Linked DNA regions of Astyanax mexicanus. The protein of the gene in region 1 interacts with the protein of each later gene in a pairwise test. Links are inferred from orthologs where the notes say so. Each region holds a gene or a part of one and is shown in the gene's direction. Other genes may lie near its edges.

Region 1 (7,117 bases):
AATGAAAAAGGAGTAACGAGGCTATTTTTATTAAAATGTAACGAGTAGAAAGTTCAGATAATTGTGTGTAAATGTAAAAAGTAGAAGTAAAACTTTATCTGAAAATTAATTACTCTAGTAAAGCATAGATAACCAACATGTCTACTTAAGTAAGGAACCTCTGGTCAGAGCTGTTCTGGGGCACGAGGGGGACCTACGCAGTATTAGTCAATTTTACGTACAGATCTTGTGTTATACTGCCACCTTATGGCCGGATATTCAACTGTCTCTAATTAGGAAAAGCAATCTGTTATTGGAACGGTTTTAATTTATTTGAATGTCTCTTTATTTTTTAGCGCTTTTGCTTTATGCCTTTTAAGAATATTGTATTTACTTATTTTACTTGTTTAACACATTTATGTATTATTTAACTAGTTAATTAATTTGTATTAGTTTTAACCTTTAATTTTGAGTTGTATGTGTTTTTTGTATTATTTTTGGATGTATTTACTTTATTTTAGCTTTCCTGACTGATTTTACTATTTATGCTTTTTTCATATTAAGATCATTCTTAAACCTATTTATTTTATTTTTATTTAATTTTTACTTTTGTATCTGATTTGTTAATCTATTATTAATTAAATCTTAATTTTATTATCTTACATAAGCTACATTTATTTAATTTTTCTATTTTTTCTTTTGATTTTTTAACATGCTTCTTTTGCACTGTTCTTTTTGCATAAATTGACATATTTTTTAATTAAAAAAATAATTTTATGAATTGTATTATTGTATTTTTTTTTCTTTTGTCTTTCTTTTTCAATCTCTGTCTATTATAAATTCTCAACTTTATTGAAAGGTCATTAGGGTCACCTTCACTGTACTCTGATTAATAGTTGATTGATTAATTGATTAATTGATTAATTGATTGGCTGACTTTTTGGAGTCCTCACTCACTTACAAAGTGAGAAATGTAGCTGTCAAGCAGATTTTGATACTGATATCCTAGTAAAACACTTACATACATGATAAAAAATATATGTTTTAAACATAAACACTACATATTATGCAGTCTATATACCACACAACTACACACACAGCATTAAACACATAATAAAGCATTTATCTGTATGTAAAACACTCTGTGTATATAAGCTTTTTGTCTAATTAGTGCATCAGCACAGCCTACCTGCCCTGCAGATAAGTTCAGCATGACTCCAGACTGATGCTGAGGCTGAAATCCCACCAGCGGCAGCAGCAGCAGCAGGGAGATGATCAGCAGCAGCAGCAGCATGGTGGATCCTCACAGCTGTGCTGGGGGAGTAAACACACTGTGCAGCTCAGACTCTCTCTCACTGTGTTAGCACCACTACTACTCTGGGTTTCCTGCTTCAACCTGCATCTAAATTTCCTGTTTACACCACAATCACACACCCAGCCAGACACACACACATACAGCAGACAGACAGACAGAAAGCACACAGACAGACAAACAAAACAACAAGCAGAGAGACAGTAATGCACACAGACAGACAGCAATGGACACAGACAGACAGCAATGCACACAGACAGACAGAAATGAACACAGACAGGCAGACAGTAATGCACACAGACAGACAATAATGCACACAGACAAACAGACAGTAATGCACACAGACAGACATAAATACATACAGACAGACAGGCAGTAATGCACACAGACAGACAGACAGCAATGCACACAGACAGACATACATACATACAGACAGACATACAGCAATGCACACAGACAGACATAAATACATACAGACAAACATGCAGTAATGCACACAGACAGACAGACAGCAATACACACAGACAGAGAGTAATGCACACAGACAAACAGACAGCAATGAACACAGACAGACAGACATACAGCAGACAAATAGACAGACAGAAATCACACAGCATTGAACACAGACAGACAGACATGCAGGCAGACAGACAGGCATCACACAGCAATGAACAGACAGACAGACAAAACGACAAACATGCAGATAGACAGACATACACACAGACAGCAGACAGACAGCACACAGCAATAAGCACAGACAGACAGACATATACACACACAGAAAGACAGCAGACATACAGAGAGACAGCACACAGCAATGAACACAGACAGACAGCACACAGCAATGAACACAGACAGGCAGACAGTAATAAACACAGACAGACAGACAGACAGCACACAATAATGAACACAGACAAACAGCAGTAATGAACACAGATAGACAGCACACAGCATTAAACACAGTCAGACAACAGACAGACAGTAATGAACACAGACAGACAGACAGCACACATCAATGAACACAGACAGCAGACAGGCATACAGTAATGAACACAAACAGACAGCACATCATTAAACACAGACAGACAACAGACAGACAGAGTACTGAACACAGACAGCAAACAGCATTAAACACAGTCAGACAACAGAGAGACAGACAGACAGACAGACAGTAATAAACACAGACAGGCAGCAGACAGAGAGACAGCACACAGAAATGAACACAGACAGACAGACAGTAATGAACACAGACAGACAGTAATGAACACAGACAGACAGACAGCGTGTTTAATCTGAACACAGGTGTTAATGCAGCAGCTCCGTTAGGATGCTCATATGCAGCACGTGCAGTTTAACCACGTGTTTTTATATCCGCCACAGCCCACTGCGTGTGTTTAATGTGTGTTTTTAATGAAGTGAGTAAAGCAGGGTGTTAATATCTCTGTTATCAGAGTAAAATATGAATAATAAAGCTTTAACTGCTGTTCAGATCTCCTCAGAGGAATCTACGCAGCAGCGATCTGTTTCCTTATCGCATCTACGTCACCAAAACAGGGAAATCCTTCCGCGTGGGGCTGCGTCCCATTACGCAGGTAGCGTGCCTGTTCCCTACACCCTATGTAGTCACTATGTATAGTGTTTAATCTAGCGGTTTGTTATGAGATGGATGGATGGATGGATGGATGGATAGATAGATCGTATTACCTTTTTTTATTTTATTACATTTGTTACCTGACAACTCTATAAATAAAATTATATTTAGGTAAGAAATTCACAACTAGAAAACTTGAATTGTTTGCCATCAAGCTGCCGGCATTAGAGGGAGCAAAATTGGCCCGGCTCCCTCTGGGTGGGTAGATGGCGCTCTCTCCCCACATCACTCCTAGGGTGATGTCTGCAGCACAGGGCGCCTGTGAGCTGATGTACCGGAGCCGAGCCGCTGTGCTTTCCTCCGAGCGAGCTGGCTGCTCGGTGATGCTGCATCAGCAGCAGCTCGATGTATCGGAGGAAGCATGTGTTAGTCTTCACCCTCCTGGTGTGTTGGGGCATTACTAGTGATCGTCCTAGTGAGTGGGTTGGGTAATTGGCCGTGTAAATTGGGGAGAAAATGGGAAAAATTTGAAATAAAATTATAAAAAAAAAAAAAGAAAACTTGAATTGTGTTTTAATTATTGCAGACTAAATGTACATAATGTTGTTATTATTATTATTATTATTATTATTATTATTATTATTATCATTTATGTTTAACTTGTTTCATTTTATTTAACTTTTTTGTAACTAATGGCTCCATGTTTCAGGTAAGGTAGAGGGAAGGAATTTGTTTAAAGAGTTTAATGTCTTGAAATATGTAAATAAAAAAATACTGTTGAATGAATGATGTACCAAGTTTAAAATAAATAAAAATATGCATTAAAAATAGTTGTGCATGCATTATTAAAATAAACTGTTTACTTTTACATTGTTCAAGTCCACTGTGTGATTTAGTAAGTTGATGAATTTTGGAGTTCCCTATATATATAATTTGCATATTCCACCAAATCAGTGCCATTTCAGTCCCCAGGAAATAACTTAAAAATAGCATAGTGTCTTGTAGAACAGTAAAATGACCCAGTTGCTATAATGTTAAGTTTGGAATTGCTTAAAAATCCATCTGAATCCTGAATTAGTCACATCAGTTTTCACACTTTATTATGAAGGGAAATAAAAATTTAAGGGGAAAATCTATTTCTAGGGCCCTAGGTAGGGCGCATGCGCGCAGATTGGAGCGCACGGGAAAGTTGCGACGTGCTGATCACATGGACGGATGCGTTTTCCTCCATCTTGGAGCTGGTGAGGAACTGGTGAGGTACTACTGGTGAGGTTCTCCAGCAGCAAAGAGGAGGAATAAGTACAGCAGAGATCCTGAACCCCGAGCTGATCCTGCAGCCGGGCTGATCCACAGCGCAGGACCTCCAGCAGCCATGGTGCAGTCCTGCTCCGCCTACGGCTGCAAGAACAGATATCACAAAGATAAGAACGTCTCATTCCACAAGTAAGATCCTCCATCCATCCCTCTGCACTGCCGCGAGCCCTGTCTGCATAACCTGGCTCTGCTGCTTCACAGGGTGAAGCTGGGTGACCAGTCTATATTTTAGCCACTACAGGACTTTTTGTATTTGTCTTGTTCGGGTTTGATGGTTTAACTGGTCTTTAATTCATTTGATCAATCTGAACAAACCAGATTTCCAGTATGACCAGGCTTAACCATACTGGTAGACCAGGAACATTGGCATGAGTAAGTTAGGTTACCAAGAAATAGCTGGTTGACCAGTATATGGTATGTTCATGGTTGACTTTAGTGGTTTAGCTGGTCTACCAAGCTAGTTCACCAATATGACCATTCTTCCAAAATTACCCCACAACATAAAGCTGGGCAACCAGTATGGTCAACTCTTAACCAGCATGATTTTGTGTCAGTTTGATGGTGTGGCTGGTCTACAAACATGATCAACCTGACCAAGCTAGGTCACCAGTATGACAAAGCATCAGCATAGTTGGCATAACTAATTTGGGGGACCAGCATGACCAGCAAGAAAAAAAAGCTTGTTGACCAGTATATGCTATGTTTATGTTTGATTTTGATAGTTTAGCTGGTCTACAAGGATGGTCAGCCTAACCAAGCCAGGCCACCAGTATGTTTGATGGTTTAGCAGTTCTACAAGCATTTGATCCATATGCACAAACCAGATAACCAGTATGACCACATTAATCCATGCTGGTATACGAAGAACATGAGCATGACAGTTGTTGTTGGGTGACCATCATGATCAGCAAGAAATAGCTGGTCGACCAGTATATAGTATTAATGGTTTGGTCTACCAGGCTAGGTCACCAATATGACCATTCTACCAGAATGACCCAGCTGAATAACCAGCATGACCTCCAACATAAAGCTGGTTGACCAGTTGAGCTCTTGCCCAGTATGATTTTGTGTCAGTTTGATGGTGTGGATGGGCTACAAACATGATCAATCTGACCAAGCTAGGTCACCAATTTGATCATTCTATCAGAATGAGCAAGGTGGTTAACCAGCGAGACCAAACTGGATCATCAGCATGACCATCAACATGGTTAAAGCTCTTGATTTTGATGTTCAAGCTTTAGCAAGCTGGTAGACCAGCGTACTTGGCATGACAAATTTGAGTGACCAACATGAGCAGCAGCAAAAGAAAGCTGGTCGACCTGTACAGGGTATGTTTATTCTTGACTTTGGTGGTTTAGCTGGTATACAAGTTTGATCAACCTGACCAAGTGACAGGTGCATTTTAAAAAAAATTAGAATATCATAGAAAAGCTCAGTAATTCAGGTCATAAAGTGGAACGCATGTATTAAATAAATACAGTGCATGCAGTTTGATCTAGTTTAAGTGTTTATTTCTTTTATTGTTGATGATTATGGCTTACATCCAATAAAACTCAAAAATCAGTATATCAGAAAATTAGAATATTATGCAAGACATATTGCTAACAATGTAACAAAAGTTATTGGTAACAATGATATTCTATTTTTGAGATACACCTGTAGGTCACCAATATGGCCATTCAACCCAAATGACAAAACTGGTTGACGAGCATAATTAAGATGATTAACCAGTAAGACCAAGCCCATTAATTAGCCTACCCAAGCTGGTAGACCAGGATAATTGGCATGATTACTAGTATGATCAGAAAACCTTTGTCGACCTAGGGATGCACCGTGGTATGTTTATGTTTGATTTTGGTGGTTATCTGGTCTACAAGTATGGCCACCGATATGACCATGCTACGGATCTTATTCCAGGTTCCCTCTCGCGAGGCCTGACATCTGTGGGAAATGGGTGGCCGCCATGAGGAGGACCAACTTCAAGCCCACCAAATACAGCAACATCTGCTCACAGCACTTTACCAAAGACTGCTTCAAACGAGAATGCAACAACCGAGTGCTGAAGGAGAACGCCGTGCCTTCCCTTTTTAGCTTCAACAAACTGCAGATAAAGGTACAGAAACCGCACAACACACCCAGTTCCTCCTTATGTATATTATTTATATGTCCTGGGCTCTGAGTGGCTCAGTAGACTGACACTGACTCTAATGACCTCAGGATTGCAAGTTCGAATCCCTGGTAATGCTGCTTCGGCATCAGCAGCAGGAATCTGAGAGAGCACAATTTGCTATGCTCTCCACTGTGGTGGGGATAACTGTTTTAGCTAAATATGGCAGAAATTTGGGTGAAGTATTACGTAAATAGTGATAATCAGTTAAGTATCTGCTCTGTTTGGGTTTTATAGATAATTTTCATATGATGAGAATTTCACACATTAAGTTATTTACATTGTGCTGCATTTAAAATGCTTTTTTACATGCTCTGTGCAATAATACATTTTCACCAGAGAAGTCCTCAAATCCACAAACCCTACAGACTGTTGCTTTAAGGCAAAGAACTTTAGTGCTGTGCAGTATACCTGTCCGACTGGTGTATCAGAGGAGAAATTAAAACTGGTATGCAATTTTCGCATACTGTCATACCGCAAGAGATGCTGCAGTGCGTTGTGTATAATCTTTAAAGAAGCATACTGGCTCAGCTTGCTAACTACAGCTAGCCAGTTAGCATAACAAGCTAACACACTAGAGTAACTATAGCTCAACTCTGTGGAGTAAAAGTCTCTTCTCGTTCTCTCCTGTCTGGAGAGAAATAAGAACAGCACATTATCTGAGGAGCTCCTGCTGCTGTTCCTTGCACTATGAAATTGCGTTATCAATCCACAGCTTAGAGAAAATTTCCTCTCGTTCCCCAGACGAGCCCAG
Region 2 (7,332 bases), on another chromosome or scaffold:
CCAGTTTGTTCAGCATCTAACCCTCTGTTTTCATTTGTTTCTCCTCAGATGTTGCAGATAACTATAAAGAAGGTTATAAAGCTTGCCTTCAGCGCGTCTCAGCGCTACTCCCGCGCACCGGCCTAGACCATGAGGCAGGTCGCCGAGTGACCGAGTTCATGCAGCGGGCGATGCCCTCCTCCAGCCCGGCGTGCCAGCACTGCAGCGGCCACGGCGCTCCTGCTACCCCCCAAACCCCGCAGCAGCGCCTCCGCAGCCTCCAGGCTACCGTCTCCAGAAGTGAAAGCCGGGCAAGCGTTGTCGTCCCGGTCTCTGGAGCCCCCGTGTGGAGGCCTTGGTAGCTGCACCAAAGCCGGGACACCTTTCTCCAAACTAAAACTGTACATAATGACTCAAAAAAAAAGAAAGATGATGCGGTTGGTGTGTACCAGCCTGCTTTTATACGTTTTAATACGTTTTATAAGTTGACTCAGGATCCTGTCAGGATCAGCCGAGTCACGATCACCTGAGTATTGTATACTTGTGCTACTTTGCTTAGCCGGTCTCGTCGGGTTCGTCCGAAACGGTCGCTTTTCTTCTCGATTCCTTCTTGCGCGTCGCCTGTAAATAACGCGGTTCTGTTTAGTCCTCTTCGAGGGGGGGTTAAATGGGTGGGGGTTGTGGAGAACGCCTATGTAAAACCCCACGGGTTGTTCAATGTAAGGCATTTGCACGTTTGGCTTCAGTATTCTGAGTTTGTGCAGATTAGTCGTATGTAAGCACAATGTGTTTAATTGTAAAGTCTCTGTTTAAGGGATGTGCTGATTATATCGTTGTATATGTATGTTACACTCAGTACTTTTGAATAAAAGGAATGGGCTACCCAATTATTGTGTCCTGTTTTATTAGTTGAAATGTGTGGGCAAATGATGATTTAAAAAAAAAAATGCAATTGTGAGTGAAAATCTTTGGATGTATATTTTTTTGGGTTTATAAATCCTTAGATACATTTTAGTTAGAATTTACAATCGATAGGTAACTTGCATTATCTACTCAATATAATGCACAATAAATAACAATCCTTTGTTTGCTATAAGGCCAGGTCTGAAGGGGGGATTTAAAAAAAAAAATACATGCACAGCCGAGTGTCTCCTGACAAACTACATTATTTGCTAAGGGACTAATGGTTGATAATTAGTATTTCTGTGGATATTTCGAATGAACAGTTTTTTTTCTGATTTGGGATCAGTTTGTCATTCCCATTGCTCTAATAAATGACATATACTACATTGACTATATAGACCTGATCTCAGATCAGTTTAACTGTCCGTGTGTTTGAAACGCAAAAAATGCCTTATTAAACACTATATGCCCTCAAAAAGAAGGCAGTGTAGTTATGAAGATCTCTGTATACGAATTAAAATGGAAGAATTAACTGTTAGACATAAGAATTGGTGTTGTCATTAGCTGTTAGCATTTTGCCCAATAAAAACGTAATGTTAGATTACTAACCTTTAGATTCAGACATGACTTGGGGCTTTACAGTCTCAAAACAAGAATTCTGTCTTTGCGATTTTACGTTTAAGAGACAGTGCTTACTCACGGAGCCCCTAAGGTTTAATAATTTAATAATTTAAGTCGTGGCCTCGCTTTATTTATTTATTTATTTTACAATGTGTCACCTTAGGGGCTCCATACTAACTAGTATGATAAATGTTCAAATTGTTCAACTTCCAGAGCGAAAAAAAAACGTGGTCTGTGCTGTCACCATGTGGTCACATGGGGTAATGCATGTGTTTGAGAGACATAAGAGCCTTCCTTGTTCTAACCCCATGTAAAACATAGAGCTTAGCTAAGCCTATAGATCAGTCCAGGTTCAGAAAGTACAAATCCATCCCGGGGTTTTGTTCCAACTGCCTATAGGCGCCCAGGCAGTTGGAACAAAACCCTGGGATGGAGTTATACTTTATGGACCTAGACTAGCCTATCCATCGCTCTCTACTCGCAACCTAGCCTGTACTCTGTACTCTCTGTTTAAAATGCGAGAACAGGAGACTTTTAAACATCTAAAATATTAAACAGCGCTGTAACTCTGTAACTCAGCCCGCCTTGTTTTCTGCAGCCTTTATTTCGCGGTATTTTTTGTAAGATAAAGAACAGAGCGGGAAGCACAGGGAAGACAGGAAGACGTTCTAAAAACGCAGTTTGAATTATTTCGAATTAAGAAACGGGTTTAAGCATCACGAGCTTAAAAAAAACAAAACAAAATCAAACAAACAGCAGCACTTGGGTGTCCAATGGTACTGACGCCTCTCGAGCTCTAGTGTGTGTGAGAGTGTGTGTGTTGTAAATCGATTCGCCCTTATTAAACCCCCCCTTTGGTCCAAGCCGGAGCTCGCTAGCTGGTCTGCAGAAGCAGCTCTCTCTCTATCTGTCTCTCTGCCTGTCTCTGTCTCTCTCTCTCTCTCTCTCTCCATCACCCTTTATTACTGCTAGTTATAGTTAGTTTAGTAGACTAGGGGTCGACCCGAGCTGCACATGATGTCTGCCGCCGGTTCTCCAGCCGCCTCGCCGTCCATTCAGATCTGCAGGTAAGATTATGAAGCCCCGGCTCGCGCGGACATTGTGGCGGGGCTGTAGACTGTTTAATAGCTCAGCACAGACAGATAGCTAAATTAACTAACCCTCTAAACACACCACTCACTGCTTCACACAGCCCAGCTACCAATCTACTTATCCAGCTACCTATCAGTATTTCAGTATGTGTAATGAACACAGCCGTGTATAGGATCAGTGAAGGAGGAGGAGGAAGAACAGCGTGTTTAAGCCGGTTTGCCGGTGCTTTTCCACACCATGCTTTACCATTCAGCAGCAGCAGCATGTAGTATTTGTCGTATGTGATGACCTCAACGAGTGATGCTGCTGGAGCTGAGGCATGATGGAGGCACAGCCAGCAAGGTTAGCTATTCAGCCACAGCATCAGCATACTAGTTAGCTAGCTAGCTAGGTGAGAAACACATATAAAACGATACGACTGTGCATTTTTAGGACTGTCACGATGATGTTTGTTATGTTTGGACGGTGTAAGCTACGTTATTATCCCCAAAACAATGTTTATTTTAAGACTGAGTGACACGTTTTTATATCTCCAAGGATGTTTTATATATTATATCATCTAATAGTAATGTATAAAAGCAATGCAAACAATAACACAGGTATACAGGTGAGTACATTCATCATATGTATACAATTTATACAAACTAAATAAAGGTATAACATAGACAACATACAGCTCTGGAATTCATATTCACAAAGTTCACAGAGTTCAGAAATCAATATTTGGTGGAATAACCCTTGTTTTTAATCACAGTTTTCGTGCATCTTGGCATGTTCTCCTCCACCAGGCTTACACACTTCTTTTGGATAATTTTATGCCTGATGCGAAAATTCAAGCAGTTTAGCTTGGTTTAAAGGCTTGTGATCATCCATCTTCCTCTTGATTATATTCCAGAGCTTTTAGATTGGGTAAAATCAAAGAAACTCATCGTTTTTAAGTGATCTCTTATTTTTTTCCAGAGCTGTATACAAACTAAAAGTATCTACCATAGACACAACATACAAAGGAAAAAAATATTATATCGTTAATGTGTACAAGGTAAATTTGTACAGTCTATATCAGTATTTACATGTAGACATGTATCACCACTTATTAAGACCTACTATTTATTTACTGTTAACCTATGTGCAATATCACTTGTTATTTCTTACCATAATTCCTCTAATCCTCTAGTTTTCTAGACCTCTTATTTTTCGTTTAATAAATGTATATTCTCGCTTGCATGTTTTGTATATAGCAGTGTTGTATATTGTTTGTATATTTCCTGACACTTATGTTATATCCTCTAATCTTGTTTTGTTTATAAACAAATTAACGTAGCTGTATATAAGTTTGAAACTCTTAAATTCAGTGATTCTGCATTGTAGATTAATACTAAAGAGATTTAAACTATGAAGAAAAACACGTTATTATTTAGTAAACAAAAAAGTGTTAAAAACAACACAATATGTTTTATATTTTAGATTGTAGGGGAAAAATAAACAAATAAAAACATTAAGTGAGAAACTGTCCCTGTCTGCTCCTCGATACGATTGACTAGACATTTCCCTCCAGCCAATGGCAGCGAGCAGAGGCGATTTGAGGCGGGAGTTTCAGGAATACGGATAGGTAAAAAACCTGAGCGTCGCTGTGAGGTCGCCCTCTAGTGGCGGACTGATGATAAAGCATTTAAACACTCGCTCTGTTGTGCGTCAGAGCGCCTGACGTCATCAAGCAGACCACGTGGTTATTTTCTTAGAAATGCTGCGGGGTCCTGTAGGGAAAATGCTGTCCCGGCTGGCGATAATCACATCTAGGTACGTATTTAATAAAATAGACCCGTTTTTAAAGATGCGCCACGATGCCCAAGTACTTTCCCCTAGTCTGGACTAAACCTGACTTCTGTTTTAAACTGAAGGAGTATGTCCTTTATTGTCATACAGAACAAGAGTCATGAGTACATGTGTAACACAGTGCAGTGGAATGCAGCCTTATTTACACACTGTGTGGACAAAAGTATTGGGACTCATTCTATTCCATTGTTTATTTGAGGGAGTTTTAGGAGTGTATCATGCTTTTGTTAAATTAAATGTCTCTATTATCCAGGAAAGAGCATTGCTGTGAGGATTTTGCATTCAGCAACAAAAGCATATTCGCATATTTGGTGTGGTCAGGAACTTGAATAATCTCCCCTTTGTAGCTCATGGTAAAAGTTGCAGAGCTGTACTTTAATATTTAGTGCACACTACATAACAACAGAACATTCCAGAAATAACTGGAGACTGCCATCAGACAATTTTTTTTAAAGACTGCAATGTTCAGATTGTATAACTATTATCACACTGCTTCTATCAACAGTTAAGATTAGCATCATTGTTCATAGCTATTGCACAACATTACAATGGAATGTAGTATTTTCTTTACTTAAACTTTACAGTGGTATAAAAATATGATCATTTTCATGATTTTCCTTTTTATAAATAATTGGTTGTTCGATTCAGCAATGTCAGTTAAATATATAAAATAGCAGATGAACACAGTGATATTTGAGAAGTGAAATGAAGTTTATAGTATTTACAGAAAGTGTGCATTAATTCTTTAAACAGAATAAGGCAGGTGCATAGATGTGATCTCCCTTGTCATTTGAATGATTTGAATACCTTTAGCAATAAACATTGGAACACAACATTTGTTTGGTAAGTTCATTGACCTTTGACCTACATACTCCAATAATGAATGAATCCAATTATGAGAAAGGGTAAATGTGGCCAATTGCAAGTTTCTCTCCTCTTTGCATCTTCTCTAAAGACCAAAGACCTACATCATCATCTTACTGCAGATGGAGTCACTGTGCATCGTTCAACTATTCAGCTCACTTTACACAAGGAGAGGCTGTATGGGAGAGAAATGCAGAAGAAGCCTTTTCTGAGCACACGCCACAAACAGAGTCGCTTAAGGTATGCTAAAGCTAAAGCACATGTAGATAAGCCAGCTTCATTTTGGAATAATGTGCTGTGGACTGATGAATCCAAAATTAAGTTATTTGGAGGGCGGCATGCCTGGTGGAAAAGAAACACAGGATTTCAAGACAGACACTTTACTGCTCTCCACAGTAAAAAAATTGGTGGTGGTTCATCATGCTGTGGGGCTGTGTGGTCAGTGCAGGAATTGGGAATCTTGTTAAAGTTGAGGGTTGCATGGATTTTTCAGTCAATATCAGCAGATTCTTGAGAACAATGTTTAAAGTTGCGCCGGGGCTGGATACTTCAACAAGACTACGACTGTAAACATAAACACTGCTCAAAATTTTCTAAAGCATTCATACAGAGGAACAAGTACAACGTTCTGAAATGATCATCTCAGTCCCCAGACCTGAATATTATTGAAAATCTGTGGTGTTATATAAAGTGTGCTATTCATGCTCGGAAACCATCAAACCTGACTGATCTGGAGATGTTTTGTAAAGAAGAATGGACAAAATACCTTCAACCAGAAGCCAGACTCTGTTTGGAAGCTTTAGGAAGTGTTTAAAGGCTGTTATTTTCTGCAAAAGGAGGATCTACTAAATATTAATCTAATTTTTCTGTTGGGGTGCCCAAAATTTATGCACCTGCCTCATTTTGTTTAACATATTATTGCACACTTTATGTAAATCCTATAAACTTAATTTTACTTTTCAAATATCACTGTGTTCATCTGCTATATGATATATTTAACTGAAATTGCTAATCATTGTGGGATGGAAAATAGTGTCTAATGAAACCACATTTAAACACCGACTTGTTCTTAGCATCATAGAGGATCAAAAGTATCTGAGGAGCATTGACATTAGGATACAGGCCCATTCATTTCTTTTGACTTCACTGAGTATATAGGACACGCTGTAATTCTAATTAATTGTAAGTCTGTAGTCCTTCTGTTTCTCTGCTTACTTTATTATCCTCTTTTCAACATGATCTACAATGATCAGAGAAGCTTTTATTTGTGTGGTGGGTCATTCTCAGCATTGCATTGACACTGATGCGGTGGTGTGTTATTGTGTAGCGCTTGTACAAGCAAGCGGATGTGACCACATTGTAGATAAAAACACTGCAGGTAACCACTACAATGTGCTGGTCCATGGAGACACAATATCCATTAAGCCAGACAAAAAGAAGATTGCAGAAGTAACTGGAGACTGCCATCAGGAAAGGCTGCAATGTTCAGAATGAAACCATTATCACACTGCTTTTGTCAAAAGTTAAGATCAGGACATTTTTCATAGCTATCGCACAACATTACAATGGAATGTAGTCTTTTCTTCACATAAACATCATGTGGCAGTGATCACACACACTAACAAACAGTGGCAGCAGCACACACACACAAACAAGACTGTGGGCAGAATTAGGTGCCTTCTTACCTACACCCTGCCTGTCCAGGCCCAGGGTATTTTTTTTATAGACTCTTTTTTTTATAGACTCTGCATTAAAACGACCTAAAGGCCTAACAGACAGGTGCATACATTTTATAAATTTGAATACTTTTAGCACTAATTATTGGAACACAAAATTAGTTTGGTAAGCTCATTGACCCTTGACCTACATTCACAAGTTAATCCATCTATGAGAGGGTTAAAGTGGCCAATTGCAAGTTTTTCTCCTCCTTGCATCTTATCTGAAGAGTAGCAACATGGGGGCCTCAAAACAAAGATTAAAGAACCAGAAATAATTCCAAGTGTATTGCATTTGGTTGGAAAACCATCTAAGTCCACATTT
Region 3 (7,295 bases), on another chromosome or scaffold:
AGTTGTGGCAGGGGAGGGGAATCTTGTGGTTCTTCAGCGTGACAGTAGGGGGTGGTGTCTGAACATTCCGGGAGCTCCTCTCAGGGTTTTAAAGTTTGTATTTTAGACTTTGGTATACCTCTGCCTGTGCGCTATAGTCTGCATGCTACATGGTGATATTAGGACATGTCCATTTTATTTCTATCATTCTATTTTTCTCCTCCATTGTGGCCATTTGGTTGTAAATAAACTTTCCACTACCTCATGTGCTGGATTCTGTGTGGTTAATGTGGAGAGTGAAGAGAACTGCTGCAAACATAAAGTACATATACTTAACATTAAGTTCAGCTGATTTTAATAACCATGCACAACATTGGCCCAAAATGTTATGAAATCAGTGGAAAAAGGGGTCAGTTACTAATTAAATTTGTGTGCTCGTTGTGCTAACAGGGCTTAAGCTAAAAGAGCCAACAGATTCAATGCAACCTAAATTTGCCACTAGAGGTGCATAAAAAAAAATCAGAATGGCTAGTGTTTCTATATGAACCGGTTGGGATTTACTTGTATGTTTAAATAAAAAAAAAATGAATTTATGAAATGTGAAATTGTAAAGCTGTCTGATTATTTTCAAAATATTTGTGCTGTGCTACAACTTATTTAAAGAAGCCAGTTGGAATTTAAAAATGCAGGTGCTCTATATGCAATGTGGAAAGCTATATTCTGAATAAAAATGCTGTTGGGCTGCCAACTAAGGAGATGATCATTGGCTCAGCAAACTCCCATTGCTCTGGTCCAAGCCAAGTCATAATTGGATATGAAAGTGTAGAGGTGGTGGACTATTTTAAGTACCTTGGCCTAAGTTTGGACAACAAAATCAGTTTTGATCATGTCATGGACCTTTACAAGCAATGCCAGCAAAGACTTTCTTTAGTCTGGAAGCTATGAGCACTTCATGTTGAACCTACGCTGCTCCTGCTCCTCTACAGAAGCATTATTGAGCTGGGTCGAACTACAACAAACTGTCATGCATCAAACACATTGCTGCAATGATCATAGGCCTCCCCACACAACTTGATGTATCCAATGTTGCAAAATACCAACAAATTATGTATGGCCAATAACTAAAAATGTTTGGCCAATCCAAACTCACACCTCAGTTACTGTTGCAGTAGAAAAGTTTGATTTAATATTTACATGCACTGTATAATCACTGCTAAGTCACTAATTTGATTAACACACAAACATTAATAATCATATAATGGAAAAACTTAACAGAAAGGGAACAGATTTTTCCTTCACAGCCTACATGGTTAGTCATGTCATTTTTGCATTAAATTGCAATATGTGGCTTCCTGCTAGTGGAAAAATGCCATTAACTGTTGCAGTTTGCAATATTCAAAAATCATGCGGCAATAGCATATCAAGCAACGAGAGTGTGGCACCTGCAGGCCCTATGGTTTGCAAAAGGACACATTGAGGTGATGCTGAACAGTGTGCAGACCAAACATTTTTCCCTAATATGCAGGCCAAAAACAATAACAGTAAAAACTAGTTCCGTCAACCATTGACACACATTCACTTTCAGTGCCCTCAAAAGAAGTATAGCAAAAGATTTAAGACCACATTTAATGCAGACTACACAACCATTATTTTACATCGTAACAGATATGTACCCCCCCTCCCCGGCAGACAAAACCAGCATTACAACATGTAGAGCTGTATTTCAGTCCTCAGCCTGCTGCAACAGAGCCATCCATACAGTCTCATTATCCAAGCAGTACAGTAATTACATTTATATCAGAGGTTAAGACTGTTCATTTTAGTCCACTGTCAGGGTTCTTTCTTTTTTGCCTCTGTTTGTGTCTTTTCCTCTTCGTCATCCTCCTCCTCTATACCCATAGTTGTCAGTAACCCAGGTAAATGTTCGTACAGTTGCTTCTCCAGTGTTTTGTCAACGTCCGACTCTTTGCGTAAAAAGCACCAGAGCACGAAGCTGACACACATTATACTGAATGGCAGGACCTTCCACCAAGGCCGCTGGTGTGTGCTGCCCATTGATCTTTCCACCCTCCAAGTCCGGTGACTGCCTTTACTTGTGGAGAACTTGATAGGCTCGGAATTAACCTCATTGTTCTCATTGCTACCTGAAGATCCTTTGGATTTTGCAGAGCAGTGTGAAGTGACTGACAGTGCTCGCACTGTGCATGGCCTATGAGAAAAAAAGGGATTACATTTTGGGTCATTAAAAGGGGGAGAATAGAACTATACATGCAAAAGATCTTTTCTTTTCCACACTTGTAATTCACCTTTAGTTTTGGTTTGTTGTGCTTCATGAATCTAACCCGTATTTCAGTTAAGTCAAGTCAAAACACGCTGTTATAGTAGTGGTTTTTAACTGCATTTAACCTCCTGTTCTCAAGTTGACTAAATCCCCGTATACAGACCCTTTATAAGATGCATGAAGATCATTACAGTACTCTGTCCTTCACTTTAACTCAAACATCTTAGTGACACATACTACACACAACCCTGAGAGTATCACAAGGCAGTGTGTTTATTCATCTCACCTTATTTACAGAATGTAGGAGTGCTGGATTATTGAAACACCTCAAGCTCCTTTTAAAAGTGTATTTTTTTTGCTTTTTCTGATCTGTTCCAACCATTTTAACAATTCAAATACTTTGATTAAACCTTTTACAATCCATAACACTTAATTCTGACCTTAACTTTTTTGGTGCCATTTGTTAAATCATGCTTTTAACCTTAAAATATTTACAGTCATGTTCCTACAATAAGACAAAAACATGAATGAGCTGCTCGCTGAATTTATCTGATTTAATTTTAAACTTGGCATCAATATTATATTATATATATTATATTATATATTGGCATTAATATTACATGGTTCTGGGCTCTTATGGGTTAAGTCAAGCCTTTAACCTCATGTTCTTCTTAAATTGACTAAAGTTCAACTCCAGCAGTTTAAACCTTCAGAAGATTAAAGATGGGTGTGAATTTAGTAAAGTTTATTGTGCATTTGATGTTTGTATGTTGAGTCAGTGGTTCTGGTATTACTAGTATGGTTGTGTTAAATAAATCACAAAAAATGTCAATATTTTACATTAACACAGAAGATACCAGACACATTCCTAAATATTAATGCCAAATAAATTTAGTGAACAGCTTATTTACATTTTATCTCCAGCACACCTACATTCTGAAAATAAGGTCAGATGAATTATCACAGATTCACACACAGTCCTGTGATGCTCTCAGGATGTTTAGTATGTGTCATTTAGGAACTGCATAAGTTCAAATGAAGAACATATGTTCGGTAGGGAACTTTACACAGCTTTTAAAATGGTATGTGACATATACATGTACATCCCCTTGGGCTCTTCTGGGTTAAACATTGGATGTGGTCAAATTTACCCCAAAGATAAAAGAAGGGTTAAGACAGGTCTATGAAAATTCAGCATTCATGCTAGACTTTTACAATATTTACATTCAAACTTTTTTTTTTTTTTTTTTTTTTAAGAATGCCTGCTTTAGCTAACGTTTCTTACTATGACCCTTTGGAGAAAAAAAAACCCTAAAACGTCTAGTCACATAACATGAGTTGTGTGTGGGTGATCAATGTCCATAAAAGAGAGTTATTTCTATATTTTTCAGGTTTTAACTAGGTATAAGGCTAAATAATGAAGCACAGTCTATAAGAGAGATGTATATTTGTGATTTAACATAATCAGGAAAGTAAATATTAGACTAATCAGCTGAAAGACCTTCAGTTACTGAGAGAACCAGAATCACTTTTTAGCCCTGAAACAGAGAAGTACCCAAACTTATAGATTAAACTACAGGATTCGGGACTGCTGTAATCCTCACCTGATACACTGCAGTGCGGAGCTGCCAGGACGCGTAGAAAAGCCTGTAATCTTAGTAAAAGTCCTCCAGACCGCTGAAGCCATGCTGTTCAGCTCTCTCTGTCTCTCTCTGTCTCACATTGAAACCGTCCCTGGTCATGTAACCTGTCTAACACGCCGTGTGTCCCCCGCCCACAAGCGTCCGGCTGAACACAGGCCTTTAGTTCCGCATTAAGAAATTTAGCTACTGCTCTCTGATCGAACATATTGTTTCAAAATAAGTTGGTATTTTCATAACACAGAGACTGCCTTTAAAACAACAAGATTATTGTTTTAATTATTTCGCTTAACTAATTAACTAGCTGGAACTATATTTTTCGAGCAGTGAAGAAAAAACAAATTACACAAGCCGAACAGGCAAAACTCCATAGCAACAGTCGCCGCCATTAATAACATGAGACAGTCGCTCTAAACCAACCTAAATGTAGTTTAAATTATTTTGTGGGCGACATATCTAAATATGAAAATAATTTAAATTACATTAACCAGGATAAGCGACGTGAAGGACAGAAAATGTAAGCATAGCCTGTGTGTTACACTATACAGCTCTGGAAAAAATAAGAGACCACTTCAGTTTCTGAATCAGTTTCTCTGATTTTGCTATTTATAGGTTTATGTTTGAGTAAAATGAACATTGTTGTTTTGTTCTATAAACTAAAGACAACGTTTCTCCAGTGGTTTGCAGTAAGGCCCTTCTAACCCTTCAGAGAAGAGGTGACAATAGGTGCATGTAAATCATTACATAAGATTTAATCAGGAAATATATATTATTGTTATTGTAAACTATAAGCATATGTTTTATAAATTAACTAAAATAAAAAAACAGCTACTAATTCAAATAATTAGTCTGCGTTTTTCAGTTGCTATAGGACTCTTATCTGACTGACAGCTGTTCTAACCAATCAAAGCTTTTTAAAATTGCTTCTGCCCCCGCGTGTCTGCAGGGACCCTTCTCCTGATTTTGAGATGGGAGTAGTAATGAGTCTATTAGCAAAGTCGCAGGACAATCTAACCAATCAGATTCATGATTTTCGTTCCAGGGGCGGGGCCATGACTGTCTAACCCCTTCTCGGTGCTGTGCAGAAGGTGCTACGCATTGGTATAGTGTAAAACAGAGCACATGCTGGATTAGTTTAATAGTTAGCTAATTATAATGGAAATGCAACGGTAAATGAGACAAATATTGTGTCATATCATATTAAAAAGCCTTTTTAAAGTGTTGCAGTAGGGGTACCCACTATATTAACTGCACGCCACTGCGTTTAATAAAAATGTTGTCATTTAGAGCATGTATTTGCAGAAAATGAGAAATAGCTGAAAAAAACAGAAAAGATGCAGAACTTTTAGACCTTAAATAATGCAAAGTAAACAAGTTTATATTTATGAAGTTTTAAGAGTTCAGAAATCAATATTTGGCGGAATAACCCTGGGGTTTAATAACAGTTTTCATGCATCTTGGCATGTTCTCCTCCACTAGTCTTACACACTGCTTTTGGATAACCTTATGGCACTCCTGGTGCAAAAATTCAAGCAGTTCAGCTTGGCTTGATGGCTTGTGATCATATGGGAGGTAAATCCTGCCAAAAATAAAACTGAAATGAAAACACTAAAATGAAAATGCAAATACCGTTTTGCTCTTTCTTTTCCCAAACATGTGTGAAAATATTATGACAAAATTAAAAACGGAATTAAATCACTTCATTTGCAATTTAATTTTTCACTTGAGCATGGGTCATACGTGACAAAATTAAAATTAAAAAGGATTTTTGCCATTTCATTTTTATTGCCATTCGGCTATTTCATTGTCAAATCTAAAATGAAAAAGCTAATTATAAAAAGAAAAATCAAAGCTTCACTTTGGGCTTGCTTTTTCTCAATGAACTGCATAATAAATAAGAAAACTAAAATCGAAATGCAATGGTAACGTTTTTATTTATTTTCCTTTGCAATAGGCTGCATGTCTGACAGAATTAAAATGAAAACGCAAAATGGAAAAATAAATAGCAAAGTGAGAGTTTGTGATTCAGTTTTTGGTGTGGACTGCGCTTTATGCTGGTCTGGATTCCGCGGGTGGATCCGTAGTTGTAGCCCCGCCTACTGCTAATTTACATATATTTGCATGCTGGTGAAGTTGAAAAAGAAAAAGAAATGTATAAAAAAAACTAAATCACCAGCAGGGAGCGCCAGTCTTCCTTTGCGTTTTCCTTAAATTTTTGACACTTAAAGCGCAGTCCACACCAAAAACTGAATCACAAACTCTCACTTTGCTATTTATTTTTCCATTTTGCATTTTCATTTTAATTCTGTCAGACATGCAGCCTATTGCAAAGGAAAATAAATAAAAACGTTACCATTGCATTTCGATTTTAGTTTTGTCATTTATTATGCAGTTCATCGAGAAAAAGCAAGCCCAAAATGAAGCTTTGATTTTTCTTTTTATAATTAGCTTTTTCATTTTAGATTTGACAATGAAATAGCCGAATGGCAATGAAAATGAAATGGCAAAAATCCTTTTTAATTTTAATTTTAATTTTGTCACGTATGACCCATGCTCAAGTGAAAAATTAAATTGCAAATGAAGTGATTTAATTCCGTTTTTAATTTTGTCATAATATTTTCACACATGTTTGGGAAAAGAAAGAGCAAAACGGCATTTGCATTTTCATTTTAGTGTTTTCATTTCAGTTTTATTTTTGGCAGGATTTACCTCCCATAATGATCATCCATCTTCCTCATGAATATATTCCAGAGGTTTTCAACTTGGGAAACTCATCATTTGTAAGCGGTTTCTTATTTTTCTCCAGAGCTGTATTTTAAGCATTGGTGGGTATCTGTATATTTAATCTTTCTGTAACTATGACTGAGGGGTCAATCTCAACGCTCTGTCCTGTTATCTGAATTAATTCTTAGATCTTATTTGTTTATTTTTAAAACACAGATTTTGGGAAAATCACTAGAATCTGCTTAGTGTCCTCAAGCTATTAGCATAGCTGCCATTTAGTTTTTTTTTTTTTTTTTTACTAATTCTATACTAAAAACTTAGTCCTGTTACTTTCAGTCCTGTTACTCATAACATAAAAAGTAACAGGACTGAGTGCCAGTAACAGGAGTGAGTGCCAGTAACAAAGTAGAGTCCCCTGGTTTATTGATTTATTAATGTGAATATTAGTTAATGTAAACCATTTTATTCCAATTCTTTTTGATCCATCATTGATCCATTTTAATAAGTTTAATTAATTGCATTATAATAATAATTTGATCAATTTCAGGTTTGGGTCTTCTTTAAAAGATAAAAATGGCTTTGCATCTTTTAGAAAAATACAATGTGCATGCATATAGTGATTTTATTTGTCATTCGTTTTTCCCCAACATTTTCAACGACAAGAAAAACAA

What was found. The genes of interacting proteins can lie anywhere in the genome.
Region 2: the proteins of thap1 (region 1) and acot7 interact in binary tests that used the Homo sapiens proteins (3 or more experiments, as listed by UniProt). The two-hybrid records come from large-scale screens. The link is inferred for Astyanax mexicanus from reciprocal best matches to the Homo sapiens genes THAP1 and ACOT7.
Region 3: the proteins of thap1 (region 1) and uncharacterized protein C7orf50 homolog interact in binary tests that used the Homo sapiens proteins (3 or more experiments, as listed by UniProt). The two-hybrid records come from large-scale screens. The link is inferred for Astyanax mexicanus from reciprocal best matches to the Homo sapiens genes THAP1 and CHLSN.

The regions. Positions count from the first base shown.
Region 1 is NC_064408.1:9,974,665-9,981,781, forward strand, and holds the start of thap1 (THAP domain-containing protein 1), read left to right. Parts: upstream 1-4,106; 5' UTR 4,107-4,254; coding exon 4,255-4,325; intron 4,326-6,113; coding exon 6,114-6,309; intron 6,310-7,117. UniProt on the Homo sapiens protein: DNA-binding transcription regulator that regulates endothelial cell proliferation and G1/S cell-cycle progression.
Region 2 is NC_064419.1:18,183,722-18,191,053, forward strand, and holds the start of acot7 (cytosolic acyl coenzyme A thioester hydrolase), read left to right. Parts: upstream 1-4,304; 5' UTR 4,305-4,336; coding exon 4,337-4,392; intron 4,393-7,332. Other genes in the region: hes2.2 (transcription factor HES-2.2), read left to right, coding at 49-341. UniProt on the Homo sapiens protein: Catalyzes the hydrolysis of acyl-CoAs into free fatty acids and coenzyme A (CoASH), regulating their respective intracellular levels.
Region 3 is NC_064413.1:15,018,982-15,026,276, forward strand, and holds the start of uncharacterized protein C7orf50 homolog, read left to right. Parts: upstream 1-4,267; 5' UTR 4,268-4,417; intron 4,418-7,295. Other genes in the region: c6h16orf91 (protein CCSMST1), read right to left, coding at 1,810-2,188, 3,865-3,947. UniProt on the Homo sapiens protein: Hormone secreted from the intestine in response to cholesterol, where it acts to inhibit cholesterol synthesis in the liver and VLDL secretion,leading to a reduction in circulating cholesterol levels. Acts through binding to its receptor, GPR146.